3 linked regions of the Drosophila melanogaster genome follow. Changing the gene in region 3 together with the main gene of any one other region gives a genetic interaction. Each region holds a gene or a part of one and is shown on either strand. Other genes may lie near its edges.

Region 1 (4,442 bases), on a different chromosome or scaffold from region 3:
GCATCCAGGCGTTGTAGATGAGCGCCTGCTGCTGGAACAAAGCATGGGGACTGGCACTGGCATTGGCAGCAGGTGCTGCTCCCTGGCTCTGCTGCCAGAAGTGTGTCCAGGGATTGGCCAAACCGATGTCACCCGTCACGTGTGGTCCAGCGTTGCCCTGCTGTGCCTGCTGCTGATGTGGAGCATGACGTTGTCGCAGCTCATTTGCATTCCCAGTGACCTCGGGCCCAGCTGGAACCGCATCCTTCTGCGGAACAGTGGGGGCTTTGGCAGCCGGCCTTATCACTTGCTTGCTGGCACACACCAAGTGAAATATGTGGTGCTGTTGGTAGACATCCTTGTAGCTGCGTATCACCTCAGATATCTTTTGGGAGTCATCTAATAGCTTGCCCGAGTAAATAAGTTTCTGGTCCTGGATTAACTACAGAAAAAATGGAAAGAAATAGTTATAGTGGTCAAAACATAAAACATAAAATTTCACATTATAGGTATTCAGAGGGAACCTAGAGATAACTCATTGTTGCTTTTACCTCCGCGCGAAATTTATACTATCAAACAGTGCCTAAATCTATTTATTTGCACACTCCAAGAGATAACAACTTGTACTTGTCAGTTGACTTTATGGAAATGATACTTGAAACTAAATAAATTTTTATAAATTCTACTTGATTTGCTCTGGAAATAAAGAGTGCTAATGTATTTTTTCTGCCTGCAATGATCTGAATCTTTAGTATATATCAGTGATATTGATATGTGGGATGTACATATGTACATAAAAAACTTGGCACATGAGTGGAGCGTGAATATGTCCAAAAATCTTATCACTTTCTAACCGTAACCAAATTAATCCCAGTTCCCAGTTCCGACCCATCGATTTGGCATAGACCAAGTGCATGACGCAAGTGCATGACGGCGACTATAATTTAGAGGAGCAATCCACTGACGTGTACTTGCGACTAAGACGCAAATAGCTTTGGGAACCGACACACCTATGAATCCTAAACGAAGATGATAAACAATAACAAACTTCTCGATAAGATAATGGGGCTCCTGGCCAGTTTTCTACCTATACGATAACAAGGGGGGGAACCAACTCGATAACCCACCGGTTTGCCAGGATAGATAAGAGATAGGTGCTTCTTCAGCCTCTGGACCGTCCAGCAGAGATCGGAGTCCACATTGAGATCCTCATACTGCTGGTTGGACGACTTGATGAGCAGCCGGACACTGGTTTCCGGATTCTTTTGACGGGTGGCGGCATCGCAGCCCGCGGCTGTTGCGGCTGCGGGTGGGGCGGCGTTCTCCTCCATCTGGCTGACCCCGCGAATCGGAGAACTTTCTATTGCTAATTAATGACCGCGATACGAAGATCGGTGATGGGTTTTTGCTGCGCTAGCGGGGACACTTTTTACGCAGCCACTGTTTCTCACTTCCTACTCCGCTCTGCTCTCTGCGTATTTTCGAGAAATAGTTTATTCTGAATTTGACATTTAATTTGGTATTATGCTATTGTTTGGTTTTCAACAGCTGTTCGTTCTGTGGTGTTTTGCTCGCAGCACAGAGTTATTGATTATGAAACGCAGTAAACGTTCCGCAGTTGATCAAAAACTACTCTTCATTTGGTTCTGACCTGTGGCAAGTGATGAGCGTCGGTCACAGGGCTGCCGCGAGTAGCAGGTATTTTTAAGTCGCAGGTTGCACAAACAGCTGAGAATTGATTTTCCAAAGTGTGTGGGATGTGGCAATTTAAGTACACAGTTGGAAAATATTAAAGTCGTTGCTCAAACACTTGGTTTTAGTGTTTTTAGAATTTATTCCTTTGAAAAATATACGGTATCTAGTTATTTGCAGTTGTGGATTTTGCTCATCACTGACAGCAACACTTGTTAATGCCATATACTACGCAACAGGGTTGCCTTGACTTACGGGGATGCCAACTCGCGTCATCGTGACGTGTCGATTATGTATAACACTTCAGACGTTGAACTTTGAATGAAAACACCGAATAGCATATAAAATGCATTTGCTCCTTAGTAAAAAAGTTAAGAAGGTTTGCCGCTGTTTTCGTATTCGAATTACGAATTCAATACTATTTCGTGAAAATATTTTTTTGACAAAGCGGCATAAAATAATTCATTTACAGATGTCTTCGTCAAGATTTCCTATTCTATCGTTGCCGCTTCGTGATTCGCGTGCCATCTCTAATAACATTGCAGTGCTTTAGATATTTTATAAATTATATATATGGTTATATTCTGTTGAATGTTAGCACGTCCGACGTGCCTTTTCCCCTTGAACTCATGGATAACAAGTCAGCCGTATCTGCTCTACAGGAGTTTTGTGCCCGGACACAGATTAATCTACCAACATACAGTTTTATTCCCGGCGAAGACGGAGGGTACGTCTGTAAAGTTGAACTATTGGAGATAGAGGCCCTTGGAAATGGTAAATTTAAATTACAAATCTCAACCACTATTTATATTCGTATCTAAACCGCCACATATTTATCCAATTCTAGGGCGTTCGAAGCGTGATGCCAAACACCTGGCTGCCAGCAATATCTTGCGTAAAATCCAACTGCTGCCCGGCATACACGGCTTGATGAAGGATTCGACTGTGGGTGATCTGGATGAGGAACTGACTAACCTCAACCGGGACATGGTGAAGGAGCTGCGTGACTACTGCGTCCGCCGCGAGATGCCACTGCCCTGCATTGAGGTAGTGCAGCAAAGCGGCACCCCGAGCGCCCCGGAATTCGTGGCCTGTTGCTCCGTGGCCTCCATAGTACGCTACGGAAAGTCGGACAAAAAGAAGGATGCCCGTCAGCGAGCGGCCATTGAAATGCTGGCCTTAATCTCCAGCAATTCGGACAATTTGCGTCCGGATCAAATGCAAGTAGCGAGCACAAGCAAATTGAAAGTTGTTGATATGGAAGAATCTATGGAGGAATTGGAGGCATTGCGCAGAAAGAAATTTACCACCTACTGGGAGTTGAAGGAAGCCGGGAGCGTAGACCATACAGGCATGCGGCTCTGCGACCGACACAACTACTTCAAGAACTTCTATCCTACCCTGAAAAAGGAGGCCATTGAGGCCATCAATTCAGATGAATACGAGAGCTCCAAGGATAAGGCTATGGACGTAATGAGCTCTTTAAAGATAACACCCAAAATCAGTGAAGTGGAATCTTCATCGTTGGTTCCCTTGCTTAGCGTCGAGCTTAATTGTGCATTCGACGTGGTCCTTATGGCAAAGGAGACCGATATCTACGACCATATAATAGACTATTTTCGCACCATGTTGATTTAATGCGTATAACATTTATTCAACTATTCTAGCTTAAAACTAAGTAAACTCGTTTTATTTACACTCTAGAATGCACATATTTCATTTAATCTTACGATTAATACAATCTCCACCAATTTGTAGGTGGGAAACATAAAAAAATTATTTTCAAGGTCTTTTAGTAAACATCTATGTTAACTTTGTACACGATTGAGATAGGTGTAAAAAATCCAAGGAAATAAGTAAGGGGAGTGGGTACAACAACTTTTACTTTCGAGAAGGTATAACATAATGATATTATTAATTACTTTTCGATGCCAATACCAATGTTAATTCTATTAAAATGTAAAGTATTTATACGGTCCGAACTTATTGTTTGCAACAACTGATTATAAAATATTTGAAGCAATTTACATAAATATGTATTGCACAGTGAAATTAAAAATCTGAACATTTGCCTTTAAAAGGAATGCTAGTAATCAAAGACTTACTTGAAACAAATATTTTAAATAATTTGACGGAAAAAAATGGTAAAAATGCTGCATTTCTTTTTTTTTTTACAAGTACAACTTTTATACGAATAAAAGGGGTTTCAGTCTAAAATAAATAAAGTGCTTCGTAGTCTTCAGCATTTTTGATTTTATTTTTACAACACAATGCTAAAATGAAAACTAAGCGTTCCTCTTAAAAACTTTCAACAATGTATTAACAATTTCAATGTCAATTGCTTGCCTTTTAATGGGTTATCTTATATTAGTACAATATGTTAAATAACAAATCCATAACAATTTGAAATGTTTTCCTAAAAAAAAATGTAAGTGTATAAATGAGATTGTTATTGCAAATAATTTCCTAATCAATCACCAAATTTGATTGCATTGGAATATCTAAAAAATCATTGCATTCGCCACATCAATCTCATCATCTCATCGGGAAACGTTCAATTTACTAGTCAAAATAATATTTACACAACTAAAGGAAACAATATATGATTAGTGTTCAATAGCTAATCTTCTTGCGCAGCTTGAGATTGGATTGTTGATGGTCCAGAGACTGTTGTTGTTGTTGTTGCTGTCGCTCCCGATCCCGATCCTTTTCGCTGGACGCACGACTCACACCGCGTACCAGGTGCTGTTGCCACTGGCTGGAGGAGGGCG
Region 2 (4,913 bases), on a different chromosome or scaffold from region 3:
CTTTTCTAGTCCTTTGCGCTTGCTTGCATTTGCTGCTGATCCTATTCCTGATCCTATTCCTGATCCTAATCCTGCTGCTGCTGCTGCTGCTGCTGCTACTTCTGCTGCTCCCTAATGTCCCTCCGCTCTCCCACGAGGGCCATTCCAATTGAGGTCCCTTCTATTGCCGCAAGAAAAGGCCAACAATAGTTCGTTTCGTCGGGGTAAAAATGAGCGAAGGACCTATACAATCCACGCGCACGCACACACACACACACTGATGCGCAACAAACACCCCTTCTTCTCCTCCGCTTACTTAAAATGTATTGCAAATTTGTAAACAAATTTGCGAGCCTCCTTCGGCTTTCGGCTTATCTTAGTTTTTTGGTTTTTGTTTGGTGTTTTCGATTGTTGTTGCTGATTCGCTGCTTGTCTTACTTTTCTAGATATTTAGATATTGCCGAATATTTTTAAAGCATTTGGAAACTGTGTATTGCAGTGATCCTCCTCCTGTTTGATGTGGCTGTTCTTTTGCTTCTTCTTGTTGCACAAGGACGAAATAAAATTAAGGACGAACGAGGAGACGACAACAAACACTGACGAAGAACACGGCGATGCAAATTGGACGACAGCGCCGCTCCTTTTGGTATTTAAAAAAGAACAATGGATACAAAAATCACGTTAATCGGTGGCTAGAAATTTACAAAAATGTACAAATTAATAAATATAAAACTAAAACAGAAATATAAATTCTGTAACGCAGAACAAAATATATCAAATATAGATGAACCTTACTGACATATGGAGAAAGGGAATTTGGCATTAAATCAAATGAAACATTTCTTTTTTACCCTTTCCATACGCAGTGCAACCCCCTTTAAAACGCCTCTGGCTTTTGCAACAGCACACACACACTCACACACTCTGCTGCATACTTTCCGGATGTTAGCAAAGTATATTGGCCATTTTTCAGATAAATCTAATTTCAAAATTAACGTAACTCAGCAAGAATTGGAAATGCGATTCTTATTGATATACAATAGGTAATAATTTTCTTATTCATTTTGAAGTCCTAAGTCAGTTAAGTAAAAAAAATAATAAAAATATGATTAGGTTTGAAAACTTTTTATTGATTACCAAAATTGTGTTATTTAGTGAAATATCTATATCTATCTATATCTATATCTATAATTTTATGTCATCATCTGACAAGAATTGTTGCCTTCTTCCAATTCGACTGCGACGGGACCTTAGGCGTAGTCCAATTCAAAACGCTTGGCATTTGTATAACGCTTTCCCATGAAATCGAATTTGAATTAATATAGCCGGCAAGAGCTACCAGGATGGAATGGAATAATGCCGTTTTGAGAGTTTAATGGGAAAGGATAAGAACTAGCAACATAGATTTCGTGCATTGAATGTTTATCCGATCGTAGGTTATCCAATTAATGTCTATGTTAGGCCACTAATGGAGAGAGTGGGGAAGGGGGTGGTAGTATCGGTTCCCTTTTGCGTTAAGTTTACGTTACGTTTTTCTCCGTTATGTGTAGCTATGCGCCACACACACACACACACACACACACATCAAGCTCTTCTTTACTCCTGCTTCCTGCTTTTGCTACCCGTTCACGCAGGCGCGTTCATAGTGATGACCTTTCTAGCCATTTATCCGCTAGCTGCGCAAAAAAATAGCTGCCCTAACAAGGACAAGCTGGGGCACAAAGTCCTTGAACAACTAATTCAATTGGGGCAAGGCAATTGCCTAAATAAATACGTTTAAATCAGCGGAAGTGAGCGGTAGTTTAAAATCTACTTTAGTTTTGTGCCCCCTCCAAACACTCGCAACCAAACACCCACATGCCGAATCAGCTGCATACACACAGACACAAGCGCCTACAAGCGAACACACGTGGTAAACGGAATTTAGTACCGCTGCTTTGCCCCTTTTTTTCACTGTTCTGTTTTATTTTGCTTTGCTTTATCGGACCTGGATGATTTTGTTGGTCCCCCTATCGACTTTGTCAATTCTGCGCCGCAGCTGATATTTTCTTGTCCATTTCCACGTACTTTTTGATTTATTTCACTTTTAAATGTGTGCCGCTCTCTCTCTTGCTACTCGCAAACGGTTATTTTCGAGTGCAGCGCTGGCTGGGCTGCGAAAGAGATAGAAGAGGAGCGATAAGCGATTGAGAGAGAGAGAGAGCGAAAAATCGGTTATGCGAAGAAAAGTTCTCAATTTCGTTCGTATTGGTGTGCGCAAGCTCACTCAACGCGGCAAAAAATGAAATACGAATACGAAAAACGGCACCCACACATACAGAATACAAAAAAAAACACACACACACACCATGTGAAATTAAAACTGAATTCCCTTTTTCGATTTCGGAATAAACACTATTCTTGACCGACCGGACGAACTGTCGTCGATTTAAAAGTTTTAGTTGGGGGGCGCGGGTGGTGGCTAAGACAACTCTCGACGGGGTCGCGGGGTGACAATCGACAAGGGGGGGCACTGCCGTTGTCCTTGAACGCAAAATTTCCACTTGACTACCGCCCAGGTGGTCGTGGTCAAAAGGCACTCAACACACACGCCTGCACATGCATACACACACACTCTCACAAACCGAACAGCAGACAGGAGGCGAAAAAGGTCCTTGAAATGCCTGAACACTTCACTGTCTGTCCGGCGTTGTCAGCTTTTACTGTCCAATTTAAACTGCTAACTGCTTTTTCGCAACTGTCACCACCTTATATTTAAATGTAGTTTTCGTTTTCACACGTTTTTTTGTTGGTTCTTTTTGTTTTTTGCTGCTCTCTTTTGCTTGTTACGTTACGATTTTATATTTGCCCGTCCCACACAAACGCCTACACGCAGGAACACAAGAGAACACTACACACCACAGGCAGTTATATCTACAGTTACCGTTATTCACTGATTCAGCGAATTTAGCACGTTCTGGGACATTAAAAACAACCAGAAGACCGCCAATTTGATTGGAGTCGATAATTATTGGATTAAACAAATAATTACTTTACTGCTCCCGTCGAACTTTTGTATGCAGTGCAGCTAGGGATGATAGATATATATTTCAGCACAGCCACGTATCGATAGTTTTTGAAAAGCGATGCCCTGATATCGATAGTTATATTGAATAAACGCGTATCGGTCGCCAAATATTTATTTTAAGTTTTCATTCCGCAAAGCTTACATCTTTAATAAGTATAATATAATTATATATATATATATTTAAATAATAACACAAAATACGCTTTATTATTACATGTTACATTACATTTAAATGTCAGTTTGACTCATTTCCGCATGCATATTTTGCATATCAGTTAAATAGGGTAAAATGATGGGATTAATCCCATTCCTTGTCACGCATTCCAACTCGTTTATAATATTATCCAATCTGTCCATCAATATCCGATGCTCTCTAAGCATAGAATTGAATTGATCTTCAGAATTCTGCTGCGATGCGGGCACGTGTTTAGTATCCAATTCCGATGCGTGCACGTTTTCAGTATCATTTTCCGATGCGTGCAGTTTTCGATTGAATTCTGATGTATATTCAACTACCAAAGTCTTTATTTTGACAAAGAAGTTGTTTTTAAAGTATGTATGTTCCATTTGCGTCTTTTCGTTGCGAGTTTTAATAGTATTTTCCCCTTTGGAAAATGCATCCCACAAGCTTTGCAATTTGGATAGTCGCCCTTCAAAATATCCAGGTTTAGATTTCCGTTGAGCCGGAGCCTTTTTATAATTGCGAATAATGCTTTGAATCTTCTCGCCCAAATTCATTTGCTCGGCCAACAGCGCACTAATGCTCGACGATCCGGCCATCTTAATTGAAAGTCTCTTAAAATGGTAACAGGAATATCAACAATTCAATGATACTCTAAGCTTGGCTCTTTTTGTACTGCCTTGAATTGTCGCTCTACAAAAGGACTCCAGTTATTTCTGAAAGCGCAGGTAATTTTAGGAAGAACGTGTGTCAGGTAGGTGGTATTCCCAGATTAATATGCAGATGGCCAATCAGTTTTTGTTTTATGGCCTTACCGTGTACCGCTACAGGTAAGCTCTTAAATTTATTTGTGCACCTTTTTATTTCGGGGAATTTTCTATCGAACACGAGTAAATTCTCGAGCGTTTAAGATCAACGCGCCGAGCACACTTCTGGGTATTTAAGGAGTTTTAAGCATATGCAAGCCGGTCACACGACGACTATCGACACTTATCGTCAGCGTCTATCGATTAAACTTGCACGTTTCGCCCCAAACATATACATTTCATTTAAAAAAGCACACTTAAACAGGAACTTTCGTGTGGATAGCAATCAAATCATGTCCACCGTGAGCGACCCCAACAGTAGCAATCCGCCGGAGAGTGCGGGGAACATTCGGCCGGAGCCCATTTTCCGGGAAATCAATGCGGAGCAGACCGACGAGATAGTGGAGGTCGAATCCGCCTGCATGAACTGCTTCGAAACGGGAGTCACTCGGCTGCTGCCCACCAAGATACCCTTTTTTCGCGAGGTGGTGCTCATGTCCTTCAAGTGCGACCACTGCGGCCACATCAACAACGAGATGCAGTCGGCATCGGAGATCCAAAAGTCCGGCATTCGCATCGAACTGCGAGTGCAATCCGTGGCTGATCTCAATCGGCGCGTGGTGCGCTCGGATAACTCCAGCATCAGCATACCGGAGATCGAGCTAGAGATTCCGGTGCAGTCGCAGAAGGGCGAGGTGACCACCGTCGAAGGCATCATCGAGCGGACGATAGCCGGCTTGTCGCAGGATCAGGAGAAGCGGCGCATCGATCATCCGGAGACAGCTGCTTCAATTGAAAAGTACATCGAGCGATTGCACCGCCTAAAGGAGGTGACAACACCCTTTCAAGTGCTTCTCGAGGACATATCCGGCAATAGTTT
Region 3 (7,820 bases):
ACCTCAAAGAAAACACGGTCAAAAGGTGGCTCACTTTTGGTCCAGTCCGCTAGATTCTATAGGTTATCAATGCAATAGGTGATTTATTAATATGATAAGAATTCGAAGTACTCACATTAGATGCGGTCGGTATAAGCTGGCTGCGGCAATTCTGAAGATCTTCTATAGAATCATCACCCATATGCCCATAGAACTGCAACTCCTCCGGAGAACCTCCGGCTGTGATGAGAGTATATATTTTGGTATCCATTGCTCCAACGGCCAGCAGTTGGTTGGCTTGCTGCCTGGAATTGTGATTATAAATAATTAGGTGTTTGCAGCGAAGAGCTCGAAGCGCCGACAAGTCACTGGTCAAAATCAAGCCAATCATTGGTTCTCCATCGGCAAGAGAATTAAATAAGTTCACTTTTTGGGGACCATCTAGCTGCGCATGGTCCAAACTATAACTCTGACAGTATCCCCTGACCAGGGTGAGGCAATCCTCACTGTTTGCCAAGATGCAGCACTTCTCGCCTCGCTCCGCCACTAAGTGATCCAGCATTACGTGTAGAAACTCGAACTTGGCGGAGTCGTAAAGTCCCATGCTTGGCCAAGGCGGCAGTATGGCGTCCAGTACCTCCATTATTTCCTTAAACACTGGATTCGTACCCAAAGTTTTTAGGAGCACAGGATGATCACATACAATTTGGAAGATTTCCTTCAACGTAGACGATTCCTGAAATACAAGTTTTTTGATTTGTTTATGCATGTAAATTGGTCTAAATCTATCTTACTGTTTTAGATGTTTGTGCATATTCAGAAACAAAGAGTAATATTTTTTTCTGCAGTTCAGCTGGAGTTAATAGACACAGATATTCCGATTGGGTGAACTCCTTGGTAGGGTTTTCTATCTTCAAAGTGTTTTGTTCATAGATTTTCTTTCCCATCGAAGTGCTGGAATCGGCGGCTGCATAGGAGACATGTTTATCTTCTCTATGTTGGCTAATTTCCAAATGCGGTGGAGCAAAGGCATCTGCCTCGCGCTTGATCTTCTTGAGCAGATGAGACCTAACGGGTGCACTGTCAGCAGGTGGTGGCGATGTGTCTGTACAACCATTCTGGGCATCTATTTTTTGGCACCAGTTGGCTATTTCCAACTGGCGCTGAATAAGGCACTCCTCGACGGTTTTAATCTCCTCCTGAATCTCGACATCCTTGCTGCCTACTTCCAGCTGATCGTTCTCCTGAAGTTGCCGCTGCTTAAAGTATGTCATGGTGTCCACAACCTTGCCGGTGTCATCCTTCAATGTTACTATGGATCCCGTGACCACCAGCGTTCCGTTGCCAGTCCACGTTTTGTGCTTTTTGGTGGTCTGATTACGCCAGAGCACATGGAAGATGCGGCTATCTTTGAGGGGATTCTCGCCCGCCCTGAATTCTCGAGGTCCCAGGCTTTGGGTGCCCCCTGAGGTGCCCCATTCGCTGGGTAGATTGTTTTTGGGCCAGGAGCAGGGTGACTGTGGTTCCTCTTTGGGAGGCGCCGCTTCGCTCTCTCGCTTTGCAGCGCGGCGCATGGAAGGAGCTTTGGAACGCCGCTTTATGGTGCTAAAGAAGAGGATTACCGGGTATAGTTCACCGTAAATACATAAGTTAATTTAAAAACTTTTGCTATCAACAAAATATAAATATACAAGGCGCAATCTATTTTCAAGCCACTTGTAAGTGTGGCCAATGAAGTGAACCTCGAAAGGTATTCCGAACCCTGGTCACACTGGCATTCTGCTGGTAGCCGGCTCTGGATGATTTTCTGATAGAAATCTCGCAGAGGCAGTGGTGTTTTTGTGAATCCCCTCAGCCACGATGGCGTTCCACTGGTGCGACAACAATCTGCACACCACCGTGTTCACGCCGCGCGACTTTCAGGTGGAGCTACTGGCCACCGCCTACGAGCGGAACACGATTATTTGCCTGGGCCATCGAAGTTCCAAGGAGTTTATAGCCCTCAAGCTGCTCCAGGAGCTGTCGCGTCGAGCACGCCGACATGGTCGTGTCAGTGTCTATCTCAGTTGCGAGGTTGGCACCAGCACGGAACCATGCTCCATCTACACGATGCTCACCCACTTGACTGACCTGCGGGTGTGGCAGGAGCAGCCGGATATGCAAATTCCCTTTGATCATTGCTGGACGGACTATCACGTTTCCATCCTACGGCCAGAGGGATTTCTTTATCTGCTCGAAACTCGCGAGCTGCTGCTGAGCAGCGTCGAACTGATCGTGCTGGAAGATTGTCATGACAGCGCCGTTTATCAGAGGATAAGGCCTCTGTTCGAGAATCACATTATGCCAGCGCCACCGGCGGACAGGCCACGGATTCTCGGACTCGCTGGACCGCTGCACAGCGCCGGATGTGAGCTGCAGCAACTGAGCGCCATGCTGGCCACCCTGGAGCAGAGTGTGCTTTGCCAGATCGAGACGGCCAGTGATATTGTCACCGTGTTGCGTTACTGTTCCCGACCGCACGAATACATCGTACAGTGCGCCCCCTTCGAGATGGACGAACTGTCCCTGGTGCTTGCCGATGTGCTCAACACACACAAGTCCTTTTTATTGGACCACCGCTACGATCCCTACGAAATCTACGGCACAGACCAGTTTATGGACGAACTGAAAGACATACCCGATCCCAAGGTGGACCCCCTGAACGTCATCAACTCACTACTGGTCGTGCTGCACGAGATGGGTCCTTGGTGCACGCAGCGGGCTGCACATCACTTTTACCAATGCAATGAGAAGTTAAAGGTGAAGACGCCGCACGAACGTCACTACTTGCTGTACTGCCTAGTGAGCACGGCCCTTATCCAACTGTACTCCCTCTGCGAACACGCATTCCATCGACATTTAGGAAGTGGCAGCGATTCACGCCAGACCATCGAACGCTATTCCAGCCCCAAGGTGCGACGTCTGTTGCAGACACTGAGGTGCTTCAAGCCGGAAGAGGTGCACACCCAAGCGGACGGACTGCGCAGAATGCGGCATCAGGTGGATCAGGCGGACTTCAATCGGTTATCTCATACGCTGGAAAGCAAGTGCCGAATGGTGGATCAAATGGACCAACCGCCGACGGAGACACGAGCCCTGGTGGCCACTCTTGAGCAGATTCTGCACACGACAGAGGACAGGCAGACGAACAGAAGCGCCGCTCGGGTGACTCCTACTCCTACTCCCGCTCATGCGAAGCCGAAACCTAGCTCTGGTGCCAACACTGCACAACCACGAACTCGTAGACGTGTGTACACCAGGCGCCACCACCGGGATCACAATGATGGCAGCGACACGCTCTGCGCACTGATTTACTGCAACCAGAACCACACGGCTCGCGTGCTCTTTGAGCTTCTAGCGGAGATTAGCAGACGTGATCCCGATCTCAAGTTCCTACGCTGCCAGTACACCACGGACCGGGTGGCAGATCCCACCACGGAGCCCAAAGAGGCTGAGTTGGAGCACCGGCGGCAGGAAGAGGTGCTAAAGCGCTTCCGCATGCATGACTGCAATGTCCTGATCGGTACTTCGGTGCTGGAAGAGGGCATCGATGTGCCCAAGTGCAATTTGGTTGTGCGCTGGGATCCGCCAACCACATATCGCAGTTACGTTCAGTGCAAAGGTCGAGCCCGTGCTGCTCCAGCCTATCATGTCATTCTCGTCGCTCCGAGTTATAAAAGCCCAACTGTGGGGTCAGTGCAGCTGACCGATCGGAGTCATCGGTATATTTGCGCGACTGGTGATACTACAGAGGCGGACAGCGACTCTGATGATTCAGCGATGCCAAACTCGTCCGGCTCGGATCCCTATACTTTTGGCACGGCACGCGGAACCGTGAAGATCCTCAACCCCGAAGTGTTCAGTAAACAACCACCGACAGCGTGCGACATTAAGCTGCAGGAGATCCAGGACGAATTGCCAGCCGCAGCGCAGCTGGATACGAGCAACTCCAGCGACGAAGCCGTCAGCATGAGTAACACGTCTCCAAGCGAGAGCAGTACAGAACAAAAATCCAGACGCTTCCAGTGCGAGCTGAGCTCTTTAACGGAGCCAGAAGACACAAGTGATACTACAGCCGAAATCGATACTGCTCATAGTTTAGCCAGCACCACGAAGGACTTGGTGCATCAAATGGCACAGTATCGCGAAATCGAGCAGATGCTGCTATCCAAGTGCGCCAACACAGAGCCGCCGGAGCAGGAGCAGAGTGAGGCGGAACGTTTTAGTGCCTGCCTGGCCGCATACCGACCCAAGCCGCACCTGCTAACAGGCGCCTCCGTGGATCTGGGTTCTGCTATAGCTTTGGTCAACAAGTACTGCGCCCGACTGCCAAGCGACACGTTCACCAAGTTGACGGCGTTGTGGCGCTGCACCCGAAACGAAAGGGCTGGAGTGACCCTGTTTCAGTACACACTCCGTCTGCCCATCAACTCGCCATTGAAGCATGACATTGTGGTAAGTACTTGTAATACGAATTATTTAAGATTTGTTAAATACTCTTCTTTAGGGTCTTCCGATGCCAACTCAAACATTGGCCCGCCGACTGGCTGCCTTGCAGGCTTGCGTGGAACTGCACAGGATCGGTGAGTTAGACGATCAGTTGCAGCCTATCGGCAAGGAGGGATTTCGTGCCCTGGAGCCGGACTGGGAGTGCTTTGAACTGGAGCCAGAGGACGAACAGATTGTGCAGCTAAGCGATGAACCACGTCCGGGAACAACGAAGCGTCGTCAGTACTATTACAAACGCATTGCATCCGAATTTTGCGATTGCCGTCCCGTTGCCGGAGCGCCATGCTATTTGTACTTTATCCAACTGACGCTCCAATGTCCGATTCCCGAAGAGCAAAACACGCGGGGACGCAAGATTTATCCGCCCGAAGATGCGCAGCAGGGATTCGGCATTCTAACCACCAAACGGATACCCAAGCTGAGTGCTTTCTCGATATTCACGCGTTCCGGTGAGGTGAAGGTTTCCCTGGAGTTAGCTAAGGAACGCGTGATTCTAACTAGCGAACAAATAGTCTGCATCAACGGATTTTTAAACTACACGTTCACCAATGTACTGCGTTTGCAAAAGTTTCTGATGCTCTTCGATCCGGACTCCACGGAAAATTGTGTATTCATTGTGCCCACCGTGAAGGCACCAGCTGGCGGCAAGCACATCGACTGGCAGTTTCTGGAGCTGATCCAAGCGAATGGAAATACAATGCCACGGGCAGTGCCCGATGAGGAGCGCCAGGCGCAGCCGTTTGATCCGCAACGCTTCCAGGATGCCGTCGTTATGCCGTGGTATCGCAACCAGGATCAACCGCAGTATTTCTATGTGGCGGAGATATGTCCACATCTATCCCCACTCAGCTGCTTCCCTGGTGACAACTACCGCACGTTCAAGCACTACTACCTCGTCAAGTATGGTCTGACCATACAGAATACCTCGCAGCCGCTATTGGACGTGGATCACACCAGTGCGCGGTTAAACTTCCTCACGCCACGATACGTTAATCGCAAGGGCGTTGCTCTGCCCACTAGTTCGGAGGAGACAAAGCGGGCAAAGCGCGAGAATCTCGAACAGAAGCAGATCCTTGTGCCAGAGCTCTGCACTGTGCATCCATTCCCCGCCTCCTTGTGGCGAACTGCCGTGTGCCTGCCCTGCATCCTGTACCGCATAAATGGTCTTCTATTGGCCGACGATATTCGGAAACAGGTTTCTGCGGATCTGGGGCTGGGAAGGCAACAGATCGAAGATGAGGATTTCGAGTGGCCCATGCTGGACTTTGGGTGGAGTCTATCGGAGGTGCTCAAGAAATCGCGGGAGTCCAAACAAAAGGAGTCCCTTAAGGATGATACTATTAATGGCAAAGACTTAGCTGATGTTGAAAAGAAACCGACTAGCGAGGAGACCCAACTAGATAAGGATTCAAAAGACGATAAGGTTGAGAAAAGTGCTATTGAACTAATCATTGAGGGAGAGGAGAAGCTGCAAGAGGCTGATGACTTCATTGAGATAGGCACTTGGTCAAACGATATGGCCGACGATATAGCTAGTTTTAACCAAGAAGACGACGACGAGGATGACGCCTTCCATCTCCCAGTTTTACCGGCAAACGTTAAGTTCTGTAAGTTATTTAAATCCCTTGCTAAGGATCAGAAATAATCCCTAATACATCTTACAGGTGATCAGCAAACGCGCTACGGTTCGCCCACATTTTGGGATGTGAGCAATGGCGAAAGCGGCTTCAAGGGTCCAAAGAGCAGTCAGAATAAGCAGGGTGGCAAGGGCAAAGCAAAGGGTCCGGCAAAGCCCACATTTAACTATTATGACTCGGACAATTCGCTGGGTTCCAGCTACGATGACGACGATAACGCAGGTCCGCTCAATTACATGCATCACAACTACAGTTCGGATGACGACGATGTGGCAGATGATATCGATGCGGGACGCATTGCGTTCACCTCCAAGAATGAAGCGGAGACTATTGAAACCGCACAGGAAGTGGAAAAGCGCCAGAAGCAGCTGTCCATCATCCAGGCGACCAATGCTAACGAGCGGCAGTATCAGCAGACAAAGAACCTGCTCATTGGATTCAATTTTAAGCATGAGGACCAGAAGGAACCTGCCACTATAAGATATGAAGAATCCATAGCTAAGCTCAAAACGGAAATAGAATCCGGCGGCATGTTGGTGCCGCACGACCAGCAGTTGGTTCTAAAAAGAAGTGATGCCGCTGAGGCTCAGGTTGCAAAGGTATCGATGATGGAGCTATTGAAGCAGCTGCTGCCGTATGTAAATGAAGATGTGCTGGCCAAAAAGCTGGGTGATAGGCGCGAGCTTCTGCTGTCGGATTTGGTAGAGCTAAATGCAGATTGGGTAGCGCGACATGAGCAGGAGACCTACAATGTAATGGGATGCGGAGATAGTTTTGACAACTATAACGATCATCATCGGCTGAACTTGGATGAAAAGCAACTGAAACTGCAATACGAACGAATTGAAATTGAGCCACCTACTTCCACGAAGGCCATAACCTCAGCCATATTACCAGCTGGCTTCAGTTTCGATCGACAACCGGATCTAGTGGGCCATCCAGGACCCAGTCCCAGCATCATTTTGCAAGCCCTCACAATGTCCAATGCTAACGATGGCATCAATCTGGAGCGACTGGAGACAATTGGAGATTCCTTTCTAAAGTATGCCATTACCACCTACTTGTACATCACCTACGAGAATGTGCACGAGGGAAAACTAAGTCACCTGCGCTCCAAGCAGGTTGCCAATCTCAATCTCTATCGTCTGGGCAGACGTAAGAGACTGGGTGAATATATGATAGCCACTAAATTCGAGCCGCACGACAATTGGCTGCCACCCTGCTACTACGTGCCAAAGGAGCTAGAGAAGGCGCTCATCGAGGCGAAGATCCCCACTCACCATTGGAAGCTGGCCGATCTGCTAGACATTAAGAACCTAAGCAGTGTGCAAATCTGCGAGATGGTTCGCGAAAAAGCCGATGCCCTGGGCTTGGAGCAGAATGGGGGTGCCCAAAATGGACAACTTGACGACTCCAATGATAGCTGCAATGATTTTAGCTGTTTTATTCCCTACAACCTTGTTTCGCAACACAGCATTCCGGATAAGTCTATTGCCGATTGCGTCGAAGCCCTCATTGGAGCCTATCTCATTGAGTGCGGACCCCGAGGGGCTTTACTCTTTATGGCCTGGCTGGGCGTGAGAGTGCTCCCTATCACAAGGCAGTTGGACGGGGGTAACCAGGAGCAACGAATACCCGGTAGCACAAAACCGAATG

What was found. A genetic interaction does not mean that the proteins touch.
Region 1: of Dcr-1 (region 3) and r2d2, changing one enhances a phenotype caused by changing the other (phenotypic enhancement), as found in Drosophila melanogaster (one study listed by BioGRID).
Region 2: of Dcr-1 (region 3) and mei-P26, changing one suppresses a phenotype caused by changing the other (phenotypic suppression), as found in Drosophila melanogaster (one study listed by BioGRID).

The regions. Positions count from the first base shown.
Region 1 is NT_033779.5:7,798,203-7,802,644, forward strand, and holds r2d2 (r2d2), read left to right. Parts: upstream 1-1,944; 5' UTR 1,945-2,050; exon of another isoform or gene 2,051-2,143; 5' UTR 2,144-2,300; coding exon 2,301-2,445; intron 2,446-2,518; coding exon 2,519-3,309; 3' UTR 3,310-3,896; downstream 3,897-4,442. Other genes in the region: Herp (Homocysteine-induced endoplasmic reticulum protein), read right to left, coding at 1-421, 1,107-1,310; Cdc14 (cell division cycle 14), read right to left, coding at 4,285-4,442.
Region 2 is NC_004354.4:9,161,388-9,166,300, reverse strand, and holds the start of mei-P26 (meiotic P26), read right to left. Parts: upstream 3,047-4,913; 5' UTR 2,903-3,046; intron 2,139-2,902; exon of another isoform or gene 1,967-2,138; intron 620-1,966; 5' UTR 1-619. Other genes in the region: CG44532 (uncharacterized protein), read right to left, coding at 3,275-3,826; Zpr1, read left to right, coding at 4,327-4,913.
Region 3 is NT_033777.3:22,735,050-22,742,869, reverse strand, and holds the start of Dcr-1 (Dicer-1), read left to right. Parts: upstream 1-1,778; 5' UTR 1,779-1,839; coding exon 1,840-4,473; intron 4,474-4,525; coding exon 4,526-6,134; intron 6,135-6,191; coding exon 6,192-7,820. Other genes in the region: CG6985 (uncharacterized protein), read right to left, coding at 3-56, 116-715, 774-1,553. UniProt on the Drosophila melanogaster protein: Endoribonuclease which functions in microRNA- (miRNA) gene silencing and, independently of its ribonuclease III activity, also acts in the short interfering RNA- (siRNA) gene silencing pathway.